Caenorhabditis elegans: one gene and its partner. The protein of the gene in region 1 purifies or fractionates together with the protein of each later gene. This does not show direct contact. Each region holds a gene or a part of one and is shown on either strand. Other genes may lie near its edges. The genes, in order: pqn-51 and C32D5.10.

Region 1 (16,047 bases):
AATTTCAGAATATCATCACATTTTCAATGGAATATAGGTTGAATACGGATAATGTTAGAGTGGGAGGGATATTTGTTGGTCGATGACATTTAGATAAGAAATGGTAAATGAGGGAAAGAGTGCGGGATGAGAGGACCTAGATTGTTAGAGAAATGGAGAAAGGTCGGAGGTGAACGCCACTTAACATCTGATTTTATTGGTCGATGTTTCTTGACGTGTGTGGTCATTTGCAAACTGGTTTGATGATAATTGGCATGTTTAAAAAAGGAACTATTGTTTTGTTAATTTTTGAAGTCTTCACCAAAATTATTTCTGGTTTTATTTTTCAAGCAATTGTGTACAATCTTGAATCTGACCGTGATTCAGTACCATTTTCTAATAATTTTACAATTAAGAAAATCCTTGTTTAGTTGATGATATGCGTAGATCAGGGAGTTAGAAAATAAATCAAATTGGCAAATTGGCGAAACTTGACACTCTTGGCAAATTGGTATATTGGCAAACTTGGCATACTTGATAAATTGGCAAACTTGGCAAATTGGCAAATTGACAAAATTGGTAAGTTGGCAAAATTGGTAAATTGGCAAATTGGCAAACTTGACAAATTGGCAGATTTAACAAATTGGCAAACTTGGCAAACTTTGTAAATTGGCAGGCTCGAAAATTTAGCAAACTTGGAAAATTGGCATATTTGGCAAATCCGTCTATTGGAAAATTGGCAATCTTCGCAAATTTGACAACTGGGCAGGCTTGACAAATTGCTAAATTGTTAAATAGCCAAATTGGCAAATCGGCAAATCGTCTGCGAATTGTCCGTTTTCCGAAATTGCCGAAATTTGAAAAATGGCGATTTTCTGAAAATTTGAAAAGGATTTTTTTGAAGCAAAACACTTCCAACTTGAACAAAATTAAATCTTCAAAATTCCAACAAAACAACGCCATTTGAAATAAAATGTGTTATTATATAATATACAGGTAATTATTAAACTTAAACAATAATTATTCAAAAATATACTTACACCCTGCAATAGTAAAATGGAAATGATTCTATCTTGCAATAGTTTTGGCTTTTTCAACACTGGAAAAATGAAAAATAATAAATAGAAAAACACGACAAAGAATGAATAATTGGCCTTAAAATTAGTTTGAGAAAAAAAATATATTGAGATTTCAAAGTTATATGGGAAGCGATGAATCTTGACGGCGATCGACATATGGCGGAGGCGCCAAGTAGCTGAGCGGCGGGGCTGTAAAATGAGAAAATGAATAACAGATGTTTCTTGCTCCAGAATTAATGTTTGTTATTTTGTTTCGTCAAATATTTATTTTAGATTTTATTCAACTGATCCAATTGTTAAATTGGAAAGAATCTGGAAGTTTGATTTATCATGAGAAAATAATTGCGTGTTATGTTTTTTTTGTTTGGGATTTGTTTCAAAATTGCAGAAATGCTTGAATTTTGTTCTAATTTTCTCTAAAAACGTCATCGATGGGAACATATAAATATCTTCAATTCCAATTTTGTATCTGCTTTGTGTCTACACGAAAAACTGCTAACTAAAGTAAATATTAATTTTGAAGTGTTGAAAATAAAATTAAACGGACATTGGGTACTGTCAATCTTTGGAAAAAACATAACTAGGTTTTACAAAAAAATGTACCATTTTTTCGAGGCTAAAATCGGGGAAACTCAGTTTTTACCTATTTTTCTGGAAGCCGTAGATCAAAAAAAATTATTTTAGTTCAATATTTTAACTATGTTTAAAAATTCATATACCGTCACTTTAGGGGTTCCAACATGCGAAAGTTATACAAAAATGCACCTTTCAAATCTCCAAACGAGTTGTCAGTTCCAGATCTTCCAGTTTCAGATCTTCCCGTCTCATTTCTCTGAGAATCATTCCTTCTTCGCCGATTAGCATTGTTCCATACGATGTCTCGAAGTGTTCCCGATCTCATCATCGGTGGTCCATTTCTCCCGCAATCCATTGCAACAATTGCAGCAAATATCAACGCAAGAATTACAACGATTACAGCCAGGACTAGAAGCTGTGTCTCGCCACGTGTCCACACATCTGGAATGAGCAAAGCTTACTAGTTAGGCTGAGCGGAAATTTCCAAAAATTTCAAAATCGGCAATTGTAGAATATGTAATCGGAAAAAATTCCAATTACTTCAAAAATTGGGTTTTGCTAATTTTTTAAGTTCTTGATCTAAAATTTGTTTGAACGCGATATATTTCAAATCGCCGAAAAACTTTAATTGACGCCCACACCTGCTACATAATTAAAGACATGCAAACTACTGATATTTCTAGAACATACCGAATCCATCTCCAATATTATCTAAATTAAATGGATTCTCAGCTGCCATGAGCCCTGGTGTCGTTGTAGCCATATCCTCCATATCCTGATATTTGGCGTAAAATGTTGCGTAGAGCATGCTACGTTTCGATCGAAAACCGATTACCTCTTCAACCATCTGAAATTGATAGTACTACGTAAGAGGGGAGTGGTGCGAGTACTACGTTGTTTTTGTCGTTTTGACATGTTTTGACAGAGAGTAGGTAAAAAGAGAAAAAGATGGAGGGACAGAAAAAAAAAAAGTGAATTTTGGTGACGGTGATAATACTGATTTTTCTTCATTTTTCTCTTCCCCATCTATCTGTCCCGTTTCTGTTTTTGTTCGTTTCGGTTTGATCGATTATTCGATTTTATTCCTTTGCCCGTTATTTTTATGCGATGGGGAGGGAATCGAGAGGCGCTTCTTTTCTTTTTTGTTGTTAGTCAACAATATGGAAATTGCGGGAGAGTTTTTGAATTCTTGAAAAACGGGAAAATGGGTCTTGCCACGCTGACCATGAGTTATAGTAACTTGTAACAATTTATGACCATAAATTGCATCAAAAGTTTCAAATTACGATACATAAACGAAAATTTGTTGCTACAATTTTTTTGAGGGGATTTCAAAAATAATTTAGCTTTAAACTTTATATAAACTTACCATAAAATGACACAAATTACAGTAATTTGTTGGAAGCGTGGTGAGACCCAAACGCGTGAAATATGGCAAAAAATCCAATTTTAGAGTCCACGTAATATTGTAAAATATTTATCGAAAAAAAAGGGTCGTGAAACCGAATTGAACTGTTGAAAAACATTTGAAAATTATTCTAATTTTTTTTATGATACTTTGAAAAAATATTTTGCAAAAAGGCTTATTTTTTAACCATTTTTCCGCAAATTTAATTGATTTTTTACAGTTTCTACAAAACAAGCAAATCTATTTGAATTTGCCGAAAAACTCTAAAAAAGTTAACCTGGGCTAATCAGTCATTCAAAATTTTTTGTGCAAAATTTTAAAAAATCACAAAAAATTTTGAAAAATTTAATTTTTCAATCATTTAAAATGGGTCGTGAAACTGATTTGAACTGTTAAGAAACATTTTAAAAACATTATAAATTTTTTTCAGATTTTTAATACAATATTTTGTAAAAGAAACCAACTTTTTGCCCGTTTTTCGGGAAATTTAACTGATTTTTTTAATAGTGTCCGTTTGTGAAGGTAACAAACCAAGAAAATTAATTTTAATTTGCCCCGAAAACTCCAAAAAAAGTTTACCTGGGTTAATCCGAAATTCGAAATTTTCTTTGCAAAATTTGAAAAATCCAAAATTTTGAAAATTTTTAAATCTATTTTCCATTATTTTATGCAAAACTGAAAGTTGTGCATTCCGATAATCTCATCACGATTCAAAACAATATCGCATTATTTTCAAAATTTAGGATCTAGATATTTGTTGCTAGATACCATAACTTTAATTCTATCTCGTGCTACTTTGTAATATCACACTACTACATATATTACCAATTGATCAAAACATTTATGAAAACAAAATAAATGTTTAGTTGTATTGTTCACATGAACACTGTTATTGAATTTTCAATTGTCGACCTGCACGTTGGACACTCTCGAAAATCGCTTGCATCGTAGCAGCCGGAACATGTGATCAGATGACGACACGGCATGAAAACAATTGATGGTTTTGTTGCCAAACATATGCAACACTCGGCTACCAGCTTCTCCTGAAGACGTTGAAAATCGCGATTACGTGATCGAAGTTGCTCTTCGACTTCCTCGACACGACGTTCCATTGAGAGTTTTGATTCGTGAACATTGGTCTCTAGTTGTGGGAAACTCTCAAACTGAAATAAAAATCTATGAGAAAAGGAATCGAAATAGTTGAAAATATTATTACATAGGGCTTGCAATGACAAAATAATGTTTGGAAAACATTTCAGATCAAGGATAAAGTGCGGAAACTTTTTTTTGGCAGTTTTAAGCGATTGTGTCAAAAAATAAAACACAATTTGATAAATATTAAAATATTATTTACTTTACTTTAAAAATGCGAAAAAATTCTCCGAAAATGTACGAAAGTTTGACGAATTACTGTTTTTTTTTCCCGGAAATTGACGACTTCTACGTCTGTGGGTTTTCGCCCCAAAATTTTTTATGATTTTTTTTTCAAGTTTGTTCAAAAATTTGGCTGAGTTATTTTCGAATTTAATGCCAAAATTAATAACCTAGCTTCAACATTTCCGCGTTTTTTTTTTCGGATAACCTTATTGGGATTATTGATTTTGAACATGATTTGTAAATTTTTCAGACATTTTTCCATTGAAAACTTAATAATCCAAAAATATTCACTGAAGCTCTAAAATTAGCTCAACATGCGGAAAAATATCAGAAAATTTTAAAATTGTTGTGTTTCAAAAAAAAATTTAAAACAAAAAAATTAAAATAACCGAAAAAAAATTAAAACTACATGGCCATTCATTTGAATTTTTTTTTTGCAAAATTGAAAATATTTTTCAAAAAAAGGAATATTCTATGAATTAATGACAGTTGCATTCGATGTATTGAAACAGTTGTGTGCCATTTATGGGGTTATTCAAGTAATGTAGCAGAATGTATTTAAATACATTTCTGACGTCACATATGTATTTAAATACATATTTTTATGTACTTGAATACAGTTGTGACGTAATTTTTCTACACTTTTAAATTTTCCGACAATACTTGAATAACCCCATTAGATGTAAATAAACCCACAGACGCTACTCTTTTGAATTGATCTACATTTGTTTTTTTAGTATTAGCGCTTAAAATATGAGTAATAAAATCAAATTTTTACATTTTTACGTTGAACAATGCCAATAAGTTTTGAAAACGTTGATAAAAATGTGATAATTAACCCGTACAGAATATAGCAAGTTTCAACTAACCAATTCTTTGTAGAGCATTTTGACAGCATTGATGTTTGGCAAAAATTCAGTTGAAAGGTCGACAAGTTGACTGTGTTTCTTTGTTAATTCATCGAGCAGCACCAATGGCTTCTGGAATAATTAAAATATTCCTTAATATAACTGTTAAATAACCAACCAATTGATAACTTTTCTCCTCCATTCGTTTTGTAACATTAGTCTGTTCATCCAACAGGTTACTCTTCCGTTCCAGCTCCATCTCGACGTCGGTCTTCTGCTTTTGAAGGTTCAAAATCTCCTCGTCTTTTCGTGCTTTCTCTTCAGAATAAATTTTTTTACGATGCTCAGACAGCTCTTTTTGGTCGTGAATTTCTTGTTGTTGGCGGTAGTTTTGGATTGTCTAGAGAGCTAATGTTATAGTTAAAGGTTAAAAAATGTCAATTTCCAAGTAACCAACCAGTTTATCAAGTGCATCAGCTGTCTCTACTCTCTCTTCCATCAGCCTATTCATCTCATCTTTACAATCTTTCAAATCTTGCTCCGAATCTTCCAGAAGCCGCTTCAATTCTTGAACTTCTGACAAACACTGTTCTTTTTCATTTTCTAAATGGTTTATTCTATTCTGAAAAGACTCAAACTAGTTATGAGAGAGAAAGTTCATAAACAAGGTCACTACCTTAAGAATAGTGAATTGACTATCGACCTCCTTTCGATCACGTTCTTTTTCTCTTTCCAGTGTGGCGAGAAGGCGAACAATGTCGTGGGAGTCGCGGGTACTTCTGGAGGTTAAGAGGATTAGGTCAGGAACATTTATTGTGTTAGTTTTACTTTCAAGATGCAGTTTTTGTATATCACAATATTTTGCAGACACTTCTGAACTTGAAAAATAGTAAAAAAAAAGGTTTTTTGAAAAATTGCGACAAATTTTATCATTTTAATGTCAACTAAAGTGCACACTTACATTCAGGTTTTTTAGGACTTTACCTCGAAATTGACTTTTGCAGGGGCTGACACAAAATATATTGTAAAAGCAGTTTTGCGATTTTCGTACAAAAATATGGTACCCGGTCTCGGCACGACAAGTTTGTGTCTAATTTCAGAAAGTGCGCTCCTTTAAAGATTACTGTACATTCAAATTTTTGTTGGTGCGGAATTTTCATTGATTTACGATAAGCACGTGGAGTCAGAAAGCCCCATTCCGCTTTGATCTACGAAAAATGCGGGAGGTGAGACGAAGATATCTCAACTGATTTCGCATGATTAAGAGTGCTGACGTCACAATTTTCTGGGAAAAATTTCCCGCATTTTTTGTAGATCAAACCGCAATGAGACATCCTGACATCACGTAGATAAAAATATATCTAAATGTATTATTTTCTAAACTCAAATATAACTATAATGTGAATTTTAACAAATTTTGAAAAAATTTGATACTACTGTAATCTTTAAAGGCGCACACCTTTTCGCATTTGGAAAAATAATGTCGTGTCGAGACCTGAGACCGTATTTTCGGCGCAAAAGTCGCAAATTATTGCGTATCGGTAATATACTTGCCTTGGAGTTGACAAATGAAACGATGAAGATCTCCCAACCGAAAGATTTCGATGAGACTTGGAACTATGCGGGTGTAAACTTGTCACAGAGCTTGACATCAAATCTCTGAAAACCAAAATTTTCAAAAAATGGAAAGTCTGCTCAATTTACTAGGTAGGCGGCAAAACACCTGCCTGCCTGCCTGCCTGGCCTTTACCTGCTTACCCTGGACTATTATGTTTCCTGCTCGACCGGGAGTCTCCTTTCCCTGTCACTTTATTCAGAATGTCCAGCATAACATCAAAGTTCTCGAATCGCTCGAATTCTTTCGAACCTTCTTTCGAGTTGGCTTTCAGAGCGGAGATGATCTCTTCTTGGTTGTAACCCCACTCGGATGCCAACTTTATTTGATCCTACACGAAATTAAACATTTGGAATAATTGAAAAAAAAAACTGAAGTTTCGTTTTATTTAAGTTACTATATCAATTTAATTATTTATCTACAAATTTCAAACATTAATTCAAACATTTCTAGACAAGCAGAGAGATTTTTCGACAAAAATACGGTAGCTGGTCCCGACATGACTATTTTTTGTTAAATGCGAAAAAGATGTGCGCCTTTAAAGACTACTGTAATTTCAAACTTCGAAATTTTCATTGATTTTTAAAAGTTTTTCTCATGGATTTGTGTATTGTTACAGCGACGAAATTTTGAAACTACAGTGCTTTTTAAAGGCGCACGCCGTTCTGAACTTTAAAAACAATTATTCGTGTCGAGACCGAGTACCGTACTTTTGACTCGAAAATCCAACTGAAAAAAGCGCCAAACTTACATGGATGGAAAGATCAGTCATAGTCGATGAAATTGATAATCCTAGGGAATTATTACCTCAAAATAGTTTTTCAAACTTTTTTTATTGACTCAAGAATTGCATATGCAAAAAAAAGGCTAATCAAACAAAAGGTGAATCGTGAAAAAGTACAAAAAAAAATGAGGAAACAGATGTTATCATATAGGCGTGAAGTTGCACATTGTGCAAACAAACAATAAAAACTTGGAATGGAAGCAGAATGGCAGAAGAGGTGGAAAAACGACGAGTGCTGAAAATTTATGCATTTGAAGTTTTCCGCGATTGCCACCAATCCGATTATTGTTTAGTACGTCAAGTTTTTCGGGTATCAATGCGGTGGGTTGTTGAGTTTGAATTCTGAAAAAAAAATGGAACGACGAAGGAGAACAGCCATAAAGTCTGGAAAAAAGGAATCGGATACAGATTACAGTTTTTGTAGGAACTCACAATCAGTTGTTCTTTTTTTTTAAATTTATTTTTTAAACTTTTAAATAGTTTTCCGTCCACTTAAATCCCTTGAATACGGACAAACAAAGAAAAACAGCTAACTTTCAGACTTGGAATTTTTCTACAGTAAACTTGAAACGCGCTGCGAGACCCAACCCTTCAAAGGCGCACGGATTTTCATACGATGGTCCGTCACGAAATGTGTTAGCTTGAGAAATTTGTTTTCGAAAATTTCTCGTTTTTAATTTTTGACCAAATAAATTCGAACTTTGCGCGTTTTTTTTTGCTTTTATTTTTTATTTTGAAACAATTTCAGGAATTTTTGATTTAAAAATAGTTTCGATTTCAGTTTTAAATTTCATTTATTCGAGTAAAAAAAGACTGGAAAATATTTTTTCAAAGTCAATTTAGAAATTTTATTTTTTGTAAATCCTGCAGCTCGAGTATTGCACGGAAATAATTGTGGCTATTCGTATTTTTTCAGGTTTTCCGTTTTAAACATTGTGAAAATATTTATATTTATGTTTTTAGATTATTTAATTCCACCGAACGTGGATCCACAGAGACCCGAAGAACTCGGGGGATGTCCAATTGGGGGGATTACCAACTCGGGGGATTGGCCCCGCCCACAGAACCGTGGCTTGCAATACGCCCATTTCTGCAACTGCCGCACGGTTATAAAATTATTTTTTCTTGTTATTTCTCGCTCTATTGAGAAAAATACAGGTTTAAAACCGTGCGGCAGTTGCAGAAATGGGCGTATTGCAAGCCACGGTTCTGTGGGCGGGGCCAATCCCCCGAGTTGGTAATCCCCCACGGCCTCCACCACGTGAAATGCGCAGAGAGAGCGCAGAGAAAAAGGCGGTCTCTGCGTCTCTCACCTCCACAGCATGGCGAGAGTGCGCGCTCAACCACCTCACTTAGAAGGAGTCGGGAAGAAAGGAAATTGCATATTTCTGAAAAGAAACAATTGGAACGGATAAAGAGTACTGTCCTCTACAGTCTGGCATAAATTTCACAGAATAGTTTTGTCATTGAAATAAGTGAAGAGAGTGAACATAATATTACACATTCCCCTCTAAAACGAGCAAGTTTAAGATTTTTTCCCAAATTTTTTTTGTAAAATGTATTCAATATATTCCCAATTAATGAGTTAATACAAAAAAACCCCAATAAATAAGTTATGAGAGAAACTTTTTGTGACATCAAACATTACAGCTCAAAATTTCAGCACTTTCCGGAAGCTAGTGACCGTAAAATGAAAGATTTCAAAAATCGGAAACAATACGATTGTTCTAATTTTTAATACGCACATTTTAACATATCACACATAAAAATCCGTCAATGTTGAAAGATGTTATTTGATCTAGAAGGTTGACTACAGTACTAAAATGACCAAATTTTCAGATTTTTCGCAATTTTCAGGAAATAGTTGGCTTGGAGTCAAAAATCGGAAACAATACGATTGTTCTAATTTTTAATACGCACATTTTAACATATCACACATAAAAATCCGTCAATGTTGAAAGATGTTATTTGATCTAGAAGGTTGACTACAGTACTAAAATGACCAAATTTTCAGATTTTTCGCAATTTTCAGGAAATAGTTGGCTTGGAGTCAAAAATCGGAAACAATACGATTGTTCTAATTTTTAATACGCACATTTTGACATATCACACATAAAAATCCGTCAATGTTGAAAGATGTTATTTGATCTAGAAGGTTGGGTGCTTTGGTACAGTACCCACTCTACTGCGCCCTCACACTTTGGATGCTCCTATCTCCGCTCCTATGAAAGTTACAAAAAAGTTGTCAACTAACAAAATGTTCAGTTTGACATTGTGAACATTTTTTCTGTTGACAATATTTTTCTAACTAGTAAGACAAATTTTTTACAGGCCCCGAAAGCCGTATTTATGAGAAAATCAGAGATCAGTTCATAACTCAAAAAATAAAGACATTAGAAGAAAGTAGTCAACTACAAATTTGTTAGATATCTTATATAGAGTATGTTTCCGATAGAAAACTCAATTTTAATGTTCAGGATTTTTTGACATGGCCAGTTTAAGATGATCAATTTTCAAAAGTCAAAATCTCTATTATTTTTGTAGATAGAAATGTAGTTCTTGCTGGTAAATGTTGTTTTTTATCTGCTTAACATTTTCTCAGTTGAACATATTTTTGTATCTTCAACGAGAACAGAGATTTGATGGTTTTAAGAGAGGGTACCGTATCTGGGACTTCAATCATCAAATCATAGCTGTATCTTTTTAGTGGAACGAGATATCAAAAAATTGTCAACTGTGGAAATGCTCGCCTATTTGTGATGTTTATTTTGTCAGTTCATCGCTAGTTTCTATCTCCAACGCGAAAAAAGTTGTAGTTGTTCAAAGTCCATACGATACATCCACTTGCCACGTGAAGAGCGAGAATCAGCCCGAAGCCACAGTCGTACATATTTTCTTTATTTAAACCGTTCAAATACACTCATCGTATTATATTTAACAATTTTCAATCTAAAAAAGTGCTCTTCTGTCCAGAATTCTTCTAATTCCAACTAATTCTTGCTAAAAATCACTGAAAAACAGATCGTATTAACTATTTATTGTAAGTTCCGACTTTCCATTTTATCAACTTCACTATTTCTGTGAAAAAAATTCGAAATTTCGTTCAAAAATAGCGATTCTAGCTCAATTTCATGAATATCTGTTGAAAGCGGCGGCGAGGCAAGGTGGTCGTCCGCAAACGCGCAAACAAAAAGCGAGAGAGTGTGCGCATTTCTCGTGCGGGAGGCCGTGATCCCCCCAATTGGACATCCCCCGAGTTCTTCGGGTCTCGATCCACAAGCTCAAACAAAAATTACTTCCGCAATTTCGCGTCAATTGTGATGCTTGCGTACCTTTTCTCCATTTCGAAACTGCCGCCGCAAACGTTTCCTCTCTCTCGCCGTTTTCCCATTCTATTTTCATTTTCAACCGCTATAGTTCATTCAGATTCGAGAGCGTCGAGACAACAAAATATCCTGTTTGAATTGGCGCTCGTCGACAACCTGCACATCACTGTTGGTCGCTGACGTCACCCCTCCCGCTGCGGCGTATATATACTCAGTCGATCGTCGCTGCTTGCTGCCAGATTGGTGAGTCGAATTTTCGCTCTCTTCGAGTGTGTCTTTCTGTGATCAGAGGGCCCCGTGTGTGGTATAAAACATGAAAATTGTAATGAAATGCGTGTTGAAAATGTGAAAAATTGGAAAAAAACATTTTTTTTTTGAAGAAGGTATGTAAAATCGATTATGAGTCATATTTTTTGCAATTTCACCATATAATAATAATTTCTTCAAAAAATCGTCTACGCAAATTTAAGAACGTAACGTCACGTTGGAAAATCGATTTTTCTCAATTTTTTTTTTCATTTTGACTAGCCCGCTTCGAGAAACCTGTTTCTTGCCACTCTTAATGGGGGTTTTTATGAAATGAACATGGTTGGAAGTGTCGCAGACGAAAAATCTCGGAAAAGTTTATCTATTCATTTTTTTTAAAACAGGAACGACAAACGTCCAACATGGCACACGGCAATGGAATCGCCGAGCTGTACAAGTCGGTTATGGCCGATGTTATCGCCAATATGAAAGAAGCGTTTCTCGATGAGAACATCGACGTCGACGTTTTATCTCAACTCAGGAAAGAATGGGAGGATAAAGTGAATTCGAGTGGATGTGTCGACTTGGAGAGCAATGCACCACCACCGGCACCACGCCAACAGCATCACGTACCGCCGAGTGCCGTTCGTCCGAATCCGATGCCTCCACAGAGACCCGTTGCTCAGCAGCCAGTGAGAGCTTTGTCGGCTCTTCACGCAGCACACATTGGAGATGCTCCGATTCGAATGGCGTACACTGGCCAGCCAACGGTTATTTAATTTAATTATTGTTTTTTTTTAAATGCGACTAATACTCCAGCAGGACAAATTTCCAAATTTCGTAACGAAACTGCTCAAAAAATTGACTAATTTCTGCAAAAATCTCGAATTTTGGCCACTTTTTCCCTGTCACATCGGTCCGAAATTGATTTTTTTTTGAAATTATCATCCTTCATTGCAGATTTGGGTGGTTTATCTCATGTAATTTCGCCAATTAAAGTACATTTAAAGCCGATAGGTAACCGACAGGCTTTAAATGTACCTTAATCGATGAAATTAAATGATAGGGATGATAATTCCAAAAAATTCAATTTCAGACAGATGTGACACGGAAAAAGGGAAAAATTCGAGATTTTAGCTGAAATCAGTGCAATTTTTCAAAAATTTCGCAGTTTCATTATGAAATTCGTTTTTTTTAGCCCATTTTGGGTCTATACATTCAAAATCGTCAAGAATCTTGCACGACTCCTACGTAAACCACAAAACTAAACCATCGTTTTTCAGCAACATCCATCTCAAGTTCGCATGTTCAATCCACAATTTCAAGGTGGAATTCACTTTCAACCGGGACAAGTGTTCGTTGTGCAGCAACCAAATGGTCAGAATATTCCAATGTCGATTATGCCGAATCAGATTCCACAGCATCGAATTATTCATCAAGGACAGCCACAACAGGCTCAGCAGCAGCAGCCTCAACAGGGCAATCAACTTACCCATATGAATCAAATGGACGGAAATGTGGGATCCGAATCAGACGGAGAAGGACCTAGTGGACCTGTAAAACTTGCTCCAAAAAAGACAAAGTGCTCATTGAGAGTCCGTGGAAGTGGAGCAAGTGAGAAGAAAGCGATGAAAGTCTTGGGATCACTATTGAAAGACTTTCAACTCGACGGAGGTGGCGGTGGAATGTCTGATTCTTCCAGTGAAGATGAGCCTGACGATGATGATGATCCACTTCGAAGAATCGCTGATCGCATGGGAAATGGTGAAGTTGAAGATGGAGATCAAGTGGCAGAAGAGGAACCATTGAATTCTGAAGATGATCAATCAGACGATGAAGATTTGACGATGCTATTCGAGGCGGACAATGTTGTCATGTGCCAGTTCGAGAAGGTTAATTCTATTTATTTTATAAGTTAAATTGTCGAATCTTGCAATTTTCAGGTGAATCGTGCCCGTACCAAGTGGAAGTTCCAGCTCAAGGATGGAATTATGCACATCGACAAAAAGGATTACTGCTTCCAGAAGTGTACCGGAGAAGCTGAATGGTGATTCGATCACCGATTTACAACATCTTTAACATTATTATCATTATTATTTCCAAATAATTATTCCCCCATTCTCATGTCCCCGCTAGTCCAGGATCCAATGAACAATATGCCTGAAGTGTAGTCTCATGCACTGTGATTTCCGCCCTTCCGCCCCGTTTTCATCAATTTTCCTTCATCATCAGTGATTCCCGATTCTTACATCATTTCTGTCTTAAAACTTCTTCCTTAAACCAAGGTCTGTAACATTGAATTTTACGATAATTCTCTTTGCAATATTCTCTATTTGTTTGCCGTTTATCTTTTTTTTAAAGTTCATCAACTTCATTCGTAGAATTCATCTATAAAATGTACCCCACCAATTCCTCTCCAGTTTTAGTACTTATTTATGAATGGATGAAGTTTTCAGATCTATACTTATATTGTATTCAATTGGTTTTCAAATTTTCAATATTTTTTAGGTTCAATTCCAGATGGACTTGCTGCCGGGTTTTCGAGAAGAAATTCTCAGAAAATTTATCGGTGAAGGTGGAAAAATCGTAACAACGAAGCATCTGGAACGATTTCAACTTCTAATCACGGCGATTTCAAGGTACTCACTGAAAATTAAAAACAAAAAAGGAATAAAAATATATTCTAAGAGATGGAAAGCTTATCCGAGGAGTTTTGGATCAAAAATCGAGATTCAATCGAGAATTGATGAATCGTGAGAAATACGAAACACCTTATATCGTCGAATTGCCCGGAGACCATCCAGCTGATACAGAACATGTTAGATATAGTGTTTCTTTGGTAAGAATTGGATTTAATTCTGAAAATAAATGGAAAAAATTGAATCTTAAGTGATTTTTTAATTTCTGGCAAATCAGCAAATTGCCGAAATTGAAATTTTCGGCAAATCGGCGAATTGCCGGAATTGAAATTTCCGGCAAATCAGCAAATTGCCGAAATTGAATTTTCCTCCAAACCCGGCAATTTGCCAGAATTGAACATTTTCGGCAAATAGGCAAATTGCCAGAATTGAAAACTTCTGGCCAATTGGCAATTTTCCGAATTTGCCGAACGGCAATTGCCGCCCACCAATGAATTTGGCCATAGTGGCCCCCATATTTTGAAAATATTTATATTTTAACTTTATTTTTCATTTCAGCCGCGCACAAAACGAGTAATTGCACTTCGCTATGAAAAGGAAACACCTTCAACATCTTCTGAAACAAAAACGAAGCGAATCCGGACGGCTGCTCAACTTTTAGGAGATACTGAAGATTATTGTTGTAGGGTTAGTTTTTTTGTAATTTTCCAAAATTAATATGCCAAATATATTTCAGACTTGTTTCAAACGTTTCTCTCGGAAATTCAATTTGGAACGCCACGAGGACGGGTGTTTGCCGAAGCCAATTCTTTTCCAATGCCCAATTTGTCATCAAAAGTATAAAAGAGCTCCATATTTTGCGGTAAGCATCGAATATTCTTGGTTCAACGGAAAAATTTAAATATATTTTTTTTCAGGCTCATATTCGGCAACACGAAGCTGAAGAGAAACGACAACATCGTGACGTCAAACGTCTTGCAATTGAGCATGGAAATATGGACGAAATACGACGAAAAGCTGAAGAATCTGTGAATAAACTGTCGATTCCTTATGAATTCGGAACTTTTTTATAGAATTCGAATAAAAATTTGGAATATTTAATGCTGATGTTTCCAATTTCACAACAACAAAACACGATCGTTAAAATTATTCATTTGTCGCTTAGAAACCAGCGGATCGTCGCCTAGAGACTGGCAGCCCATCGGCATTTTTCTTCCAGAATGCCTTCACTTTAAAAAAATTTCCAATGAGAAATTTGGTTTTCTCATTGGTGTTTCTAATATTTAATCTAGTGAATAATATCAATAAAGTCAACTCGCAATGTACTTCGGACACAATTCGTGAGAAATTCTATAATAAACGTCACACTGTCGCATTACGGTTTGATCTACAAAAAAATGCAGGAATTTTTTGCACAAAAATATGTGACGTCAGCACGTTATTAGCCATACGAAATCAGCTCCCGCGTTTTTTGTAGATCTATGTAGATCATACCGAGATGGAGCACTCTGACACCACTTGAAACTTTACTCACTGATTCTATTTCAGCAAGCTCATTGGCAACGTTGACTCAGTATCAAGTAGGATCTGAAGGAGATCGTAAGAACAAATATTTGATTGAACAGAAAATCAAGTTATCTTGATAAGTTTCAGCGTATTACAGTCATTTTTTGGTCAATGGTGGTGCATCTTTCTCGTATGGAAATGCTTCAGCTACTGCTTTATATGAATTGGTTAGGAATATTAAATAATTTTAATTGTTAAATTAAAAAAAAAAGTTCTAGAGTGCTTATGCGATATCAGCTGCTACAACCAATTGCACATCTACATGTCTTACATCTGTTTCAGCTTATTACAAGACGGATTCTGACAAATGTATGTCCAATTTTTGAGAAAGAAAATACGGTACCCGGTCTCGAGGCGACAAGTTTGTGTTACATGAGAAAAATTTATCGAAAACAAATAAAAAATCAATGAAAATTCTGCAGCTTCGAGATATCGGTCGAGTGTTCGAAAATACAGTAATATTTAAAGACGCGCATTTTTCTGCACTTTTATATCCCTCAAAAGGGATATCTTACGTGGTGTCAGGCTGTCCCATGAAAGACGTAATCTACAAAAAATGCGGGAATTTTTACCCAAAAAATGTGACGTCACTACGCTCTTAACC
Region 2 (16,047 bases), on another chromosome or scaffold:
TCACCTGAGAATGTTCGTCCCTTGAAATCTAAAAACATTCGTTCCAATAGGATTCGTGAGAATCCTAAGCCTACACACTTAATTGAAGAATGGGGTCGCTGCTTATCTTAAACTGAAATCTGAATCTCCGTAAACGAACCTCTTCAGCCTGTTTTGCACCTCCTTTATCCTCCTCTTCCTTTTCCACTTTTCTTCCAATTCACTCACTTATTTCCAGTTGCACTTGTTCTAAAACCTGTCCAATTTACAACTTTTTATCACTTAATAAGACAACTAATCTATCATTTTAACTTCAGAACAATGTATACCGTCGCCGTGACCGGTGGTGCTGGTCTTGTTGGACGTTATGTTGTTCAGAGATTACTAGAAAATGAACAAATCGCAGAAATTCGGATTATAGATCGGCAGAGCACTTCCAGAGGTAAGTCTACTTGATTTCCATTTTTTTAAAATTATCTAAATCTGTCCGCTTTCAGATGAAAGCAGAAAAGTCAAGCTTTATCAAATTGATCTTAATGATAGAAAATCATTGGAAAATGCATTGAGAGGATGTGATGGTGTAATTCATTGTGCTCATTCACCATTTCCAATTTTTTATTCAAAAGATAAAGAACAGAATAATCTGATGTGGAGAGACAATTTAAATGGTAAGGTTCTCTCTTTTTCATCCTTATACAAAGTACAGAAACAAATTACTTTTTTCGTGTACAGTTTTTTCGCTACTTGGATTTCCAAGAAAACTTGTAACTTGTAACATCTAAAAAGTTTGCTATTTTAATTACTTTCACTGAGTAAATCCAAAATTCTATGACAGTAGAAGTGAATAATATATCACCTCTTTTACTACCGAAAAAATTAAAAAAGCCGCTGTGGTCAAGTGGCTAAAAATTTTGCCATTCACGTAAACGTTCGCTGGTTCAATCCCTGCGGTGATAAAATATTTTTTCAAGTTCTTTATTGACAATTATTGTAATTCTAAAAAACAATATTCCGAACTCCATAAATTTATAACTTGCTTTTTCTCCAAATGAGATTTCACATTTTCGCCTTTTCCTAAATCTATCCACCATTTGAACTTGAAATTTCGAAAAAAAAAAGGTTACACTGTAAGAAGCACATTCCAATTGTCAATAGACAAGCAACTAAATACACATCTTGTTGAAAACTTGACCATTCTGCGTCATTTCATTCTCTGAAACAAGAAATTGAACGATTCGAACGGAATTGGATATTAAAAGATGCAATACCATAGCTTTTAGTAGCTCTTTTGGAATCAGAAAAGAACTAGAAACATAGATGAACTATGGGATTTATAAAATTTTGTAAAATTTTGTTCCAAATAGAAATAAATCTACAGTAAATTCTCCAAAGTCTCCTTTTTTTCTAAAAATATCCAAAAATGTTGTTTGTTCCAAAAGAGAAACCCATTAGAACATCTGAATAAAACGTATTTTTCTAATTTTTATGTAAACAGAAATCATTCAAATACAGTGATCATTGATGAAATGAAGTTTATTTGAAAGATTATAGTGGTGAAAATAAACTTTTAAGTGTACAAAAATATTTTGAAACTTGGTAATGAATGAAAATATGATTTCCTACTAATTTTCTATCTTTTGAAATTGAACTTTCAGCTTTGAATACACCTGAAAAATATTTACAAAGGTGTGAGGATGAATTTTTTGTAGAATTTTCGAAGTTTTTGAAATTTTCAGAAAAACTTGGTGATCTGTATTAAAAAACTTCAAATAATTGTTTCTCTTTTTGTAGCCTGTGAGAGTGTAGTCGACACAATGACCAATCTGAACATCAAGACCCTGGTTAATATCGGATGTGCTTATTGCCCAATTCCAAATGAAGATAACTATGGATTGGCGCAAGACGTGTTTCTGTAAGTGTCAATTTGTAACATTAATATGTGAAATTGACTGATATTCTAGTGATTATCCAAGAAATTACATGCTGGATGAGTATGGAGAATCTCGTACTCGAGGAGAAATGTATGCGAGAAAGGCCGCAAAAAAGGGATCTTTCAATGGAATTTTCTTGAGACCAACATTTGTTTATGGTCTTGGAAAAAGCAAAAAGATTGACACAATCAAAGAATTAATTTTGAATTCTGCTCTACCATTTGTAACTGGAGAACGACGAGGAATGCATCAATTTGTAAGTTTTAGAGAGCTTCTATTTATTTGTGATATGTTCTACTTTGTCGGTTATGTATCATAAAATCCTTTCTCAGATATATGCTGGAAACCTAGCTGCAATCGCTGAAAAATCATTTTTCGGATTAATTTACAATTCGAAAAGATTGAATGGAGAAATTGTGTTCTGTATGGATGAGAACTGTGCTCATTCAATCAGAGATGTAAGTTGATAGAAAACAAATTCAACTTTTATTTTTTTTAACTTCCAGTTTTTCGAAAGTCGTTTTCTTAATCCAAATTACTGTCAAGAAGTAGCTGTCAGTTATTGGCCATCATTTGCCACTTCGTACTTAAACTATTGGAAGAATATGCTTGGATTCAAGGTACACTCTCAATTTACAGATAAACCAATATTTTTAATTTTTCTGAGTTTTTAGATCCCAGAAAACATTCTAAATCACGTTGCATTCCGTTTGTTCTTTGAGAAAACTGTTGGATTTCCTAATAAGAAACTGCGCCTGTTATTGAATTCTAAACCGGAAATCTCACAAGAAGAGGCATTCAAATTGTACGCGAACTCCAAAGCTTCGTATTCGAAGGAGGCAGTAAAGAGACCAACTGTGCAAGGATAATTCCAATTAATCCTAATAAACTTGAAGTTCAATCTGTTGAATCAGTTTCATTGTGCTTTATTAAAAATAATACTTTGCAAGTTATCAAATAAAAATTGTTGAAGTTTTGTCGTGTCGAGACCCAGTACCGTATTTGGCGTGTCAAAAATCGCGAAATTTCGCCTATGGGGATACGATAATCTAAATTTTAAATTCAAAATAGATGTATGATATAGGAAAATATTCCATCAATGTCTTTATTTTATTTATTTTGTTTGTATTTATAAATAATATATTTATTTCGAATGCTCGTCTGTTTCATGATATTGTCCTCGTGTTGTTCACGGCCGAAGTTTTTCACAATTGTCAATAGAGCGTTTTTGAAAACTCGTCCGCAACGATTTGAAACAAAATTTGTACAAAACTTTGTTGTACAAAATTCTGTACAGAATTTTGGCTCATTGTTTTCAATATTAACAAATCTTTGTTTTATTCTGCTTCTTTCTTTCTTCGGGGCTTACCAATTTATTAATTTAACTTTTGATTAATGAATAATCATTGTTTTTATTTCACACAAGTCTTCGAATATTTTGCTAATTTTAAAATATGAGAAATTTAATGGCAAAAAAGTTATGTTCATCGCTGACTGCGATCGGACCTGCGAGAAACCTGCTGACGCATTTCTCGATGCCAACGCCTCGCTTCTTCCCTCGCTCTCTCGTTTTTCTCTAGTTTCTGGGAATTCGTTCATGTGGTTTGATATATCGACTTTTTTGGCTTTAATTTCAACAATGTCAATACGAATTTATCAATCTGCAAGTGATATTTCATACCACGGAAGCATGCTATCGTATCTTTTCTGAAATTAATAGCCAAATCTCGAAACACGTTAATATTATCGTTCTAGAAGTGAAATCCGACGACATTTTTATTTTTTAAGCGATAGCTTGCTATGATTCATCATTTAAGTCATAGTGGAAAATCGATATCAGTATTTTCGGGTCGTCCTTGCCTCATTTCTGAAAAGAAAGTCATACTGCTCATTATTGATTTTTCTACTATAATGAGTGATAATAATAAAAGAAAAATTCTTTCAGAAAAACTATGGGGGACAGTGGTGTGGAACCTGTCATACCATCTCCATCAACAAGTTCAAACAACCCGGTTGAAGAATTGCAGTGCACAATCTGTTTATCTACGAGGTTGGATATAAATTCAAACAAACAACTAATTGTTAAAATTAAGATTCTCTCAAGAATGTCGCATCGAAGGATGCAATCACTCGTTTTGTTTTTCCTGCATTTCTGAATGGGTCTGCCAATCTCTACGCCCTTCATGCCCAATGTGTCGCAAGGATGTCGATAAAGTGTCGTATGATTTTTCAGAGCAAAAACTAGGACAAAAAGAGTTAGAACTTTTATTTTATTTATATTTACGATAATTTTCTGTTTCAGGATTGCAATCAAAGAATATCGAAGCGGGCATATGTCACTTACGCCTACAGATCGAGTTCAACTTCTCAGCGAAAGGAGACTAGTTGTCAGAAATTTAATGCATTCCTACAAGGTTGTAGGCTTGTTATCATCAGAAATGTGAGTTTGCTTGGCTTTTCCAACAAAACGTTCTATATTTCAGAAGCGGTATCGAAGAATCGAAGGAACCAGATGAAATCTTGAAGGTAAAAATTAGCACGCTATATAAACAGACTAAATATTTATTTCCAGAATGCATTGATTGAGTTAGCCGCTATCGTAACACAGCATATTCAAAAGGCAGAGATATCACTATCGGATCTTAGGACGGAGCAGGCTCGAATCAACAAGTATCAGTTTAATTGAATGAATATATTACCAAAAAAAGATTTCAGGTCAATTGTTTTCAATACGGTTACGTTTCGTCGAATGGTTTACACAAGCAAAGTCAAAGTAATGTATCCTGATTTGAAGAAAGTTAAAATCAAGCCATCTGATATTGCCAGAGAACCGGATCGTTTTAGAAATGTTATCACGAATTTTTTGATAGCTGAGTTCGACGCTATACCTTTCCAAAATGTAAGAAAATTTATTGAACTTTCTTGAAATTTTTAGAATTTTTCAGCAACCAAAACTTGCCGGCCACAAATGGAGAACAAAGTTTCTAGGTTCCTGCATCGATATGCAGCAAAAACAGCGCTATGCCGCTCAAATTTACGAGCTTATGCTGAGTCGTCCATCGGGTGATCATTTATTCCGGGTACGTCTACAGGAAATTTAATTTAAAACTGCTAGTTTTCAGAGAGAACTCAATGAAATTCTAACGCCTGTTAGTGCAGTTCATATTCAATTTTTGGACGATCATTTGGATGCAATTATTGCAATTGAAAAGTTAACAATCGAAGAATTCTACAACGAAGTTTACTATGATTCTATATACAATAGTTTCTCGAGTAACTTCTTTGATTATAACTCTATGGGACGTGATGATCCTCAAAGCCGATTCGAAGCACTCTTCAATCAAATTCATCGTGATATCGGAAGTACAAATGATTGGATGGATACTTATGTGGCAGGACGTCTTCTTCGTCAATCTTCAAATACTGATGGAACGGACCGTGCCACGAATAACGATGATGATAGTGATCGTTCTGAGTCGCCAGAAGAAAGAGTTCCAACGCCAATGCCTGACGAAGATCCACGTGAACAATCGTTGGCACGAGCATACTACGAACAAATGCTGGAAATGCCAAATCGGGTACCGCTGTCAATGAGAGCCTACCACATGATGCGTGATCGAGATGTTCGTGTTCGATATCCAACTACAGAAGAACCGGTTCCAGTTGAGCCTGTAACATTTGGACAAACTACTAGAACTTTACCTATTTCACAGCAACCGACAACTTCTCGCAGTCATATGACGCTGAGATCTGCAATGAGACGTTTAGATTCCGATCGTCCGACAGACGAAGAGATTCCGCCGATTGAGAGTCGGCCCCAGACACGCCGCGAAATCGAAAGAGATCGACTTCTACAAAGAGTTCGGGAATTTGATAATCGATCACGAGGGCTTTCGGTGAGTATTATTGAGAATTTATAAAGAAGTGAATGTATTTAATTTAATAGTAAGTAAAACTTGAAGATTTTCTATATTTCAGAGTCTCTTCCGTCACCCTGCATCGTCGGATTATACAAGTCGACGATTCACTTCTGATGGTTATTCTGGATTGGTTGGTTTAAAAAATATATAAACATAAAATATCATCAAAATTGTTTCAGGTTATGCTCTCGCCACGGTTAAATTCAACCACTACATCATCTACGAGTATACCTGTTTATCAGCCGCGAACTATGACGAGTAATGATTTCGCGCATTTAAACCGAACCAGAAGCATTTTGGAGAGAAGACATTTCCCACAGCCACCACGGGAGCAAAGAATCGAAGAAGTGGAACAACTTTTCAACAGAGCTTACCAAAATATGCAGCAAACTCATCAAGCAATTCAAGAACATGCTAGCACAAGCAATGCACCGACACAAATTCCTCGTCCAGCAACTCCAGCACCCGCTATATCTGACGAAGAATCTCGATCACTTGCGGAAATTGTTGCAACCATAAATCAGGAGGATGCTGATAATGGACTTGACTTTATTTCGGTTGCTCATCGAACAAGATCCGCAAGAAGAGGTAAATTTCTAACTTTAAATTGTTTTTTACCGAAATTTGATTTTTCAGCAGCCGAAAACGGGCATCCACCCGAGGGACCACCAGCCAAAAGATCAACAAACTCTCGTCGTGATAGACGTTAATATCCAAGAAATACGCTCATTTAAAAAAATAATCTTGTTCGAGTTTCTTAAACATTATATCTGTATGGATAAATGTACACTCGCTTCTTAAACAACCCGTTTCCTTCACTGTTTAGTTGTACCTTGTGACATGTACATTCAAATGTTACTCAACCCCCGTTTTTTTTCATTCTATGTGTTCTGCTTTTTTCAAAAACTTTATTAAAATATTTAATGAAATGTTAAAATAATATTTTGAGCGAATCAGTTTGTGAAAACTGTTTTATAGACAGGTTTTTGGTATTTTCTGTGTGTTTTTTTATTATTTATGTTTTATTGAGAAAGATGTTTTGTTTGAGAGCAACGAATCTAATAATAACAAAACTTACTATAAGCTAGAAAATTCCAAAAGATGCACCCAACTATTTTTTTTTCCAATTTTTCATAATAATCTATTTGTGAGTGTTTTCTCTGTATCCGGTTTCTGTTCTTTCCATTTTTTAAGGGAAATTTCCTTATAAAAATTCAAATATCTCAAAACTATGCTTGTGCGCTCCAATGAGATCTATTTGATTGCTTCCATCTTTATCAACATTTTAGGCTTTTTTATTTTACTTCGACTACCTTCTTTCTTTGATATTAATTTTAATTTATTAATTTAATTTTTAAAAGAGAAACTGAAATTTCAAACCAGAATATGGGAAAAATTAGTTAGAGTTTTCAAACTTGAAAATTTTGCGCAAACTGAAAAATATTTGTGAGAAACTAAAAAATTTCCGATAGTTTATTTTTTAGAGGAATATTTCAAATCTCAAAAGAATTGAAAAGCTCAATGGATTCTCCGAGCACAAGTGAATCACCACTGAAAAAGAATACAATTCAGGATTTTGGAGAAAGTAACATGACAGAAAGTCCCCAGTCTAAAGAAGAAATCGACGAACCGGAAGAGGAGTGTTCGGTATGCAAAAATGAGTAAGTTCATTCAATAGTATTAATTAAAAATTGATTTATTTCAGAATTATCGATACAACCTCGTTGAGTGATTGTTGCCATGAATTTTGCTACGATTGCATTGTAGGCTGGCTCACGAAGGGATCCGGTCCTTTCTGTCCAATGTGCAAAACACCAGTTAGCTTCATCCAACGGAAAGGAACCGATGAGAAAATAACCGTCCAGCAAATAAAATCCGAAGGAGAGCCAGCAGCGACTGCTTCAGAAGATCTTGTGACTGAGAAGAGAATTGTGTCGAGAAAAATTCGAAGTTGTCGAAGGCTAATGAACCAAATTGACGAGATCATGTAAGAGTTTTCGATGAGTAATATACAAATTGTATTTGAACATTCTTTTAGTGGAGCAACATCAAGTAGATCTGATAGTCAAAAAAGGAAGCCACGATTAGAAGAGTTGAACTCGATGAAACAACTGTGTGTCTCACAATTGAACTCCCTGCAAATGCTCCGAGACGACATTGATCATGGAGCAGCAAAAGCATTAATTGTCTCAAAAGCCGCATTCCGAAGATTGATCTATGAGCGTCAAGTTATATCAGAAGGATTGCCAGATGCAACTAATTCTCTGTCGAAAACTGAATTCCGTGATAATATCGATCACTATCGAGCAGTTTTACACAGTTTCTTGAGCGTCGAGTTGAAATCCCTTCCGGCGAAGACGGTAACGTTTCCCATTAAAACATAAAAGTGTTCTAATGAAAAGTATTTCAGCAACCACGTGTCGACAATGAAAATAGCTGGTATTTTTATACACTTCATGATGTGGCCGAGGGAAAAGACGAAGAGATTATCAATAGAATATTCAGTATGATTGAAGATCGTGGAACGCGTGATCTTAATGCGGTAGTTCAAAAACAAATTTACCATAAGTTTGAAATGTTTCAGAGAGAAGTTGATGCAGCATTGAATGGGCTTGTATCATGTCGGGTTGTAATTGCATTTATTGCTGAGCTGAAGTCTTTGATTAACAGTCGAAAGTCATTTTTGGAGTGGTGCGGTGCCATAACATATCGAATCAGAACAGATCGCGGAGGTGAAAGTGCTGGAAATGGTAGAATCATATTTGTACTTAATTTCAAAAAATCGTATCTTCCAGATGTTGTGACGGTCGACGATTCAATTGAGCTTGAACCCGAAGAAAATAGATCAAACCACAGGTCGCGCCGATTCCCGGTTTTTACACCATTCGACCGAGTTTTTGGTATTTAATTTTTTATCATAATATGCTTTTAAAATATTATTTTAATTTAAAACTTCAAAATAAAATTTTCAGGATCTACCATGGGACACATGTATCGAGGACAACCGCAAGTGAGTTTGCCGCCCCTTTATGACCTGTTGAGTGTAAGTTTACATTGTAGCATTATCCTGCCTCATCATCTGACACCGACCAGGACGATGACATCTACTTTCAGGCTCCTCTTCGTCTTGGCCCTAATGCTACGAATCCGTTCAGGCCAGCTCCGCTCCCGGTGCCGTCACGTAAGATTTTTCAGATCGGCTCTTCAAAAAGTTAAATTTTTACAGAATTACCAATCGCTGGTATTCCATGGGCAGAATTAACGACATCTTCAGCAGGTGCTGGTTCTGCTCGAAGTCGTGGATCCGACAGTGTAGTAGAAATTGACGATGATGATGATAATGATGGTGTCGATGTGGATGATGATGACAGAGAAGACAGTGATGAGCCAAGAACGTATTCAAATAGTGAGGAAGATAGCGATGAAGAGATTCAAGTTGTTGAACGTGATGATACTATTATTCTTGATGATTCGAATCGATCACTTCCTAAACCTGTAGCAAATGGTAGTGCCGACAGGAAGAGAAAGTACGAATTTCCATTAGAAGATCATTGGAAAAAGGCCAAAACCAGCCAGTTACCTGAGGGGCTTGTTGACGATGTTCAGGAATTGATCGCGAAGTACAATATGCCGTTAACACAATCAATGAATATGCTTGTCGGCGCAGCACAAGAAGCCATTATCAGGATTAACAAACCAATGCCAAGCACTTCAAGGTGGGTTTGAAAAGATTTTATCGTGGATATGTAATATTCCAATTTCAGTGCTCCAGACATTTCGAAGTTCAAACCTGATGATATGTTACAGCTAGCAAGTTGTAAGTTTGTCATATTGCAGATCAAGTCTCATAACTAATTTTTACAGATCTCTCTCGAACTGGTGCACTTTCAAGGCGACAGTAAATCGACATTTGATCTCTGTTAAATCAATTAAAAAGGCGGATATCGACGAGTTTTCAAACTTTTTCCTAGGCATATCATAATTTTTTACAACTTTTTTACTTTTATTTTTTCTGACATTTCGATGTTTCGTAGTAGCAAGTTTCCAAATGTTCCATCCTGGGCTACAAGCGAACTTATTCGGCAATTTTTAGATTTTCGTTGTTTACGGTTCAAAGAAAAAAGCGTTTTTCATATTTTTATTGTTTCTCCATGTTAGCTATCATTTTTTATTTATTTATATTTATAGCTTTATTCTGATTATTGTACTTCTGTCCGTGTAAAACATTTCGTCACTATTGACTGTCTATAAATTTTTAACCTTTGGTTTATTGTTTGGTTATTTTTTTAATATTTTTTCTCGGTTTGCTTCCGGCAAATTTTTATCTTGTTCCTTTTTATATTTTTGCCTTTCTGATCGATTACATGGAGTGCACCCTAATGTCTTTAAGATCTTTTAATTGATTTGTTTTATATTGTCAGTTCTAGCGTTTTACCAGCTGGTCTTGAATGCCCTCTTCTAGTTCATTACATTCTACGTCACGGTGACAGCTGTGAATGTGGATGATGCTCTCATTGCTCCAACTCTTTATTTTAGAATTATGTCGCTAATGCACTTTCCACCTACATATTATTGTATGGATATAGTAGTTATATATCGTTTATTTCGTTTAGTTTTAGCATATTATGTTCCTTTAATAGCAAAACATACTCAATACCAACTGTTGTCTAGTTGTTATTCTAACCTTTTATCACTTTTGATCATTTCTAACGTTTAAAATTTCCTATCAAAAGAATCTAAGAACAAACAATCTGTCGATCGGCACCTGAAACCCCGATGATTCTACACCATGCTGCTCTACTTCTCTCAAACCATCCAATGTTTCCCTATACTCTCTTGCTCTCCTCTGCCTGCTGTCTCGTTTCGCCGCCGTATGACACAGTCACATGATGTTGAGTCGTGGTGTCTCGTCGTCTCCGCCCCTCTCTCATCTCTCTCTCTTTCTAGCTAGTGCCATTCGTCTTGGTGTGTTCAGTCTTGCCTCTCGCTCTTCTTTGCGACTTTCTGCCATTTCTTTCACTTTCTGGCGACGTCGGTAGCGACAGTACTTTTTTATTTAAAAGTTTGTAATTTTAGTTGGTTTGTTTAAAAAACCGGTTTCAAATCAAAATCTTTTTTAGATTTGAAATTTGAAATTAAGAAATGTTTCACAAGTTTGACTATTAAATGTACGGTTTAACAATTCTATCTAAAAATATTGCTAAATCATACCAAAATTATTTATTGAACGGTCATATTAATCTAGTTAATAGTTGATTACTAAAGTCTTTCAGAATTCAATTTTTTGGAACAATGCGCTAAGAATATTCGTAGAAACTGGTTATGGATACTAGTGAATATTGGATAAATGTTACTAATATATCGATCGACTTTCAGTCTTCCCAGAATTACAGTTTCCCCGACAACCTCTAAACAGCTGCATTGTACTTGTCCTGTTTCTCTGCATCTCAACAAAACCAGGCCAGACAAACATAGAAAATCAATAGGATGTCTCCTGCGTCTACGCGCTCTCATATGACCGATGTGCGCGCACACTCCCTCTCTCACTTGCACACGGGCCATTCTTGCTCATGCTCTTTTTGCCTTACTAGTACTCGTCGTCAATTTTATATAGATTTCGCAATGTGTTATCGAATCGGTCAATCTCTCAAAACCCATGTGATGTCACCTTCATTCACTCTCACTTGTTACACCTTTCTTCTCTCATGGTTCTTTTATGATTTTTCTGTGATTTAAAGTATTTTTATTCCAGTAACCTTCTCTTCACACTAACCTTCGAATCAAAATGAAGTGGGCTTACAAGGAGGAGAACAACTTTGAGAAGCGTCGTGCCGAAGGAGACAAGATCCGCAGAAAGTACCCAGACCGTATTCCAGTGATTGTTGAGAAAGCACCAAAGTCAAAGCTCCATGACTTGGATAAGAAGAAGTACTTGGTCCCATCCGATCTTACTGTTGGACAGTTCTACTTCCTCATCAGAAAACGCATCCAACTTCGTCCAGAAGATGCTCTGTTCTTCTTTGTCAACAATGTCATTCCACAAACCATGACCACAATGGGACAACTCTACCAGGTAACTAACCAGTCGTTTATTTTCATTTAATTAACCCTTTTCTTTATTACAGGACCATCACGAGGAAGACTTGTTCCTTTACATCGCCTACAGTGACGAAAGTGTGTATGGAGGAGAGGTCGAAAAGAAGGAATAAAGTGTCATGTATTATCCGCCGACGAATGTGTATACTTGTACAATGGAAATTTCATACTTCTAATGGAAACCCAAAGCCCCTTTAAAAAAATCTTCTCATTTTCTGTAATAATTCTGTATTTCCTTCACATTTTCTTCTCATTTTTCTCGTATGACGGTTCCGAGTAGTGACTTCTATTCAAACTATTGTCTACGAAGTTGCTCTTCTCCCCTCCCAGAAAATCATGTTTTCTCTCGGATTTTGATATTTTTTTGCTATTACTTTCAAATTTTTGATTCATGAATAAACGAAGAAGACACAAACAAATTCATGTTCATGCTCATCGTTATTTTCGGCCAGCGAATGGAATACCTCCAACAGTTAGCAATACACATTGCGAAATCACTTTTTCATCTGTATAGAATTGACGTCACATTTGTATTACGTAAACATCATTGTAGATTTCTGAACAAAGTATAGAGAAAAATGAGAATTTTATTTCGAAAATGGTGACACACTTTTGGCAAAAAGGCTCTTTGTATCCATTAGTCATCTGTCAAATGACAGTTTATTCTAGTTGTCATCGTCTGAAAATGTCATAAGAGGGCTCAAACGTTGACTTAGGAATCATTTTTGATTCGATTCTGGCATATTTTATCATTTTCGAGACACAATTTTGGTACTACCCATTTGCAGAAGTTTGAGATTTTCAATGCGAAAATACGGTAGCCGGTCTCGGCACGATGGAAACTTTTCAGCTACCGCACCCAAAAGTGTTTCGCAATTTTCACCTGTATCTGTTGTAATAGTTTCACTTAAAATTCCACATTTTTAAAGGAAAAACCGATACATTTTTGGAAAATTGTAGGAGATCATGAAAAATTAAAAACAAATACTTGCGGATACGGTATTTAAATAGTTTTGGCCGTTTCGAGACCGAGTACTGTAGGCTAACTCTAAAAAAATCTGCAAAATTTTCAAGATGTATAATTAAATACATATTTTTGAGATTAAAAAAAGAGTCTCGTTTCTCTACATCTTACTATTGTAAATCTACGAGTCGCCGCTGCTTCCCAGTCAAATCGATTCTATAATTACACCTTCTCCTTTTCCCTTTTTCCTCTATCCATTTTCTCGTTGTTTTCCCTTCGTTGCTATTAGAAACTGGCATGGCTTTATTCATAAAGTGGTGTTTATACTCTTTTTTTTTCTATTTTTCTGCCTTTTTGAATTCATCACGTGTATGTTCTGCCATCTCTTCTTCTTCTTATTTTTTTCAATTTGATCGCAAAATTCGATCGAAAACGTGACCTTTACCTTTTGAACGGTGTATTCGTTATCTCATCGGTTTCCCCATCATTACTTGACTGTGATGGGGAACACGGCGAATTCGAATTCGAAACAACCAGCAACGAGTGCCGCGCAGATGTCGGTCGACCCAAAAGGTAGTGAAACACTGAAAAATTTGGCAAGTTTCTCAGCAGGTGACCTGATAAACACGAAAGTTGTTTCGTTGCGATCGGGTATTATACGTTTACTTTTTGATTAGTTGTACATGGTTGGTTGGTTAACATGGTTGGTTAACCAACCACCACGTCATCTTATTTTTTAGATATCAATTCCATAGTGTACGATGAAAGTCAGTCGAAAGTATAAGCCCAGTTTAGCATTCAAGTAAATTTTTCAATAACTAAGATACCGTTTTTATATGCTCACTAATGTTTCTTATATAGATCACACAATCAGAAGATATTCGGAGCATTTCGTAGTAACCTGTTCATTCCATGAAAAAAGTATTTGCGATCAAAAATTCAGTGGTTTCATATAGGAGAGACCATGATCATGAATAAACAAACAAGAGTGTCTCGCTTTCTAGTCATAGACTATCACTTCCAATCTATACTCTTTTTTATCATTCCTTTCAATTTATTTACTTTCTTCTTTCAACCTAGACTTTTCTTCTTCGATAAACTGGAATAATCGAACTTTGTGAAGCATCAACTTGTCGTTTGGCACATCTTCTAAAAAGTTTGTTACATAGGCTATGATGTCTGCGTGTTTTTCAGAAGTTGGTAGATTTGCTGTTGAGTTAGGTGTTTTTGCAGAGCAGGTTGAAGGAGCCGAAGAATTCAATTGTATACTTGTACAACTTGTAGATTGCTGACATGTAACCGTATCTATAACTTTTTGAAGCCAGTCATCTGAAAAATTACTTGTAATTTACATACACTTTAAATCACAGTTCAGACCATTCAACTTGTCTTCTGATAGCTCATGCTCAATCTTTGGCTTTTTTGCTTTTACTTGTTGATCATCGGCTTCTGCATTGCAAGTCGTTAATGTCAATTTTGACAAGCTGGAAAAAGGTTTCCGTTTCGGAAATCTAGATCATTTCATACCTGTCTGTTTTTTCCAAATAAGGAATAAGGAATTGTAGACAATCGTAGAACGGAACTATAGACTTGGACTTCTCATCATTCTTATCACCACCATTTCTAATCATTTTTTCAAAATCATTGAATAGGTATAACCATAACTTTTCGGCGTTTCTACCTGTAAGTTGATGTGGTGTTCATAAACATGTTTATTCCTGTTCACATGTTTACAGTCCAAATCAAAAACAGTCTTTCTCTTTTCGTAAATCACATTTTCAAAACTAAAAACTAACCTTTCCTCATTGCAAGAAAATGTCCACATTTTTTCTCTATAATATAAAACGCTTTCTGTCGAAAATCACTATTCTTCTTGCACGGACTGTATAATTCTTCTCTTCCAGAAAACAATGATATGAAAAAGTCGATGTCAGATCTTCTATACGCGTCATAATGTGAGAAAGGAGGGATCTTTGATGGTCGACCCATTTTTCGTTTCTGCTCCGCTGAGCCAAACTCTAGTAAATCCTAAATTTTTTTGATTTGGAAAACCACGTGAAAAACGTAGATCCTAGCTTTTCAGACTTACTATGAACTTCTCCATATTTTCAAAGCGGTAGAGACCAAATATTAGAAATAAAAGTGGAGAAACTTATGAAAATCGGGATCGCCAGATGTTATTAGAAAGTGAAGAAATGCTAAGAAAATATATGAAAGTGCGCAAAATTTGAGACGCAGATTTTAGAGCGTCGAGAAAAAGACTCGTTTCGAGCGACCCAGTTCAAAATCTCCAATTATTGTAAACTATTTCCTCCCTTCTCCAACATCTCTCTCAGTTTTGTCAGAGTGTTGTGTGTTGACAACACCAACAACTCCCCCCGTTTTTCGTTTTGATTCTTTCTTTTCATCACGAATTCAATTTACTGTAGATTGTCATACAATTCATTCCAATAATGAAATGGAAAACTAGTTCAAAATATTCAAAACCAACATCACTAAAAGTGAAAGATATTTGTTGATCTTAAAACAACACATGTTCCTCATACATTTCATCATAGAGATATTGACTCATCCTCCGCATCATCCTCATTTTCCTTAGTTTTTGTTCCGAAAGTTTCATATAAAAACCCTAGGACTAAACTCTCCTTGTCCCATTCTATCAATTTCTCAACTCTTATATTGATTCTCCAATATATATATTTTCAGGAAAGAACATGTCTCTTTTGGCTGGAGTGAAACTTGAAAAACGCGACAAAACGTTGGTCGACGCAACTGAAGCTCTAGCTGGAAAGGCCGTCGGATTCTACTTCTCGGCTCATTGGTGCCCACCGTGCCGCGGCTTCACACCAATTCTCAAGGATTTCTATGAGGAGGTTGAAGATGAGTTCGAGGTCGTCTTCGTCTCTTTCGATCGTAGCGAGAGTGATCTGAAAATGTATATGAGCGAGCACGGTGATTGGTACCATATCCCATATGGAAATGATGCCATCAAGTAAGTTATAACTCTATAAAATCCTCTTTAACTAGTTTTTTCCAGGGAACTTTCCACCAAGTACGGAGTTTCCGGAATCCCAGCTCTCATCATCGTCAAGCCAGACGGTACTGAAGTAACAAAGGATGGACGTAACGATGTGCAAAATGGAAAGGATCCAAAGGC

What was found.
Region 2: the proteins of pqn-51 (region 1) and C32D5.10 fractionate together in Caenorhabditis elegans (co-fractionation; one large-scale study listed by BioGRID). This does not show direct contact.

Annotation. Positions count from the first base shown.
Region 1 is NC_003283.11:5,038,515-5,054,561, forward strand, and holds pqn-51 (Prion-like-(Q/N-rich)-domain-bearing protein), read left to right. Parts: upstream 1-11,092; 5' UTR 11,093-11,121; coding exon of another isoform or gene 11,122-11,172; 5' UTR 11,173-11,235; intron 11,236-11,642; 5' UTR 11,643-11,660; coding exon 11,661-12,008; intron 12,009-12,521; coding exon 12,522-13,130; intron 13,131-13,181; coding exon 13,182-13,289; 3' UTR 13,290-13,700; downstream 13,701-16,047. Other genes in the region: K11D12.8 (uncharacterized protein), read right to left, coding at 1,177-1,247, 1,824-2,075, 2,325-2,481; exc-14 (RING-type domain-containing protein), read right to left, coding at 3,918-4,205, 5,289-5,399, 5,446-5,667, 5,725-5,889, 5,944-6,046, 6,822-6,926, 7,026-7,213, 7,634-7,654; K11D12.12 (C2H2-type domain-containing protein), read left to right, coding at 13,759-13,877, 13,927-14,077, 14,436-14,564, 14,614-14,739, 14,795-14,950; cwp-4 (Coexpressed With Polycystins), read left to right, coding at 15,124-15,217, 15,426-15,476, 15,531-15,610, 15,662-15,752.
Region 2 is NC_003280.10:6,343,255-6,359,301, reverse strand, and holds C32D5.10 (putative RING finger protein C32D5.10), read left to right. Parts: upstream 1-7,314; 5' UTR 7,315-7,351; coding exon 7,352-7,491; intron 7,492-7,535; coding exon 7,536-7,817; intron 7,818-7,868; coding exon 7,869-8,190; intron 8,191-8,240; coding exon 8,241-8,372; intron 8,373-8,414; coding exon 8,415-8,580; intron 8,581-8,625; coding exon 8,626-8,730; intron 8,731-8,802; coding exon 8,803-8,840; intron 8,841-8,944; coding exon 8,945-9,011; intron 9,012-9,056; coding exon 9,057-9,546; intron 9,547-9,594; coding exon 9,595-9,647; intron 9,648-9,694; coding exon 9,695-9,732; 3' UTR 9,733-10,095; downstream 10,096-16,047. Other genes in the region: C32D5.12 (3-beta hydroxysteroid dehydrogenase/isomerase domain-containing protein), read left to right, coding at 301-421, 477-647, 1,771-1,891, 1,941-2,166, 2,243-2,368, 2,417-2,530, 2,585-2,779; C32D5.11 (RING-type domain-containing protein), read left to right, coding at 3,863-3,960, 4,004-4,165, 4,213-4,350, 4,394-4,436, 4,483-4,580, 4,626-4,809, 4,856-4,990, 5,033-5,806 and 3 more; Protein lgg-1, read left to right, coding at 11,616-11,903, 11,956-12,039; txt-18 (transcellular chaperone signaling (x)cross tissue), read right to left, coding at 13,945-14,219, 14,268-14,374, 14,418-14,571, 14,687-14,918, 14,980-14,994; C32D5.8 (protein-disulfide reductase), read left to right, coding at 13,391-13,463, 15,597-15,882, 15,928-16,047.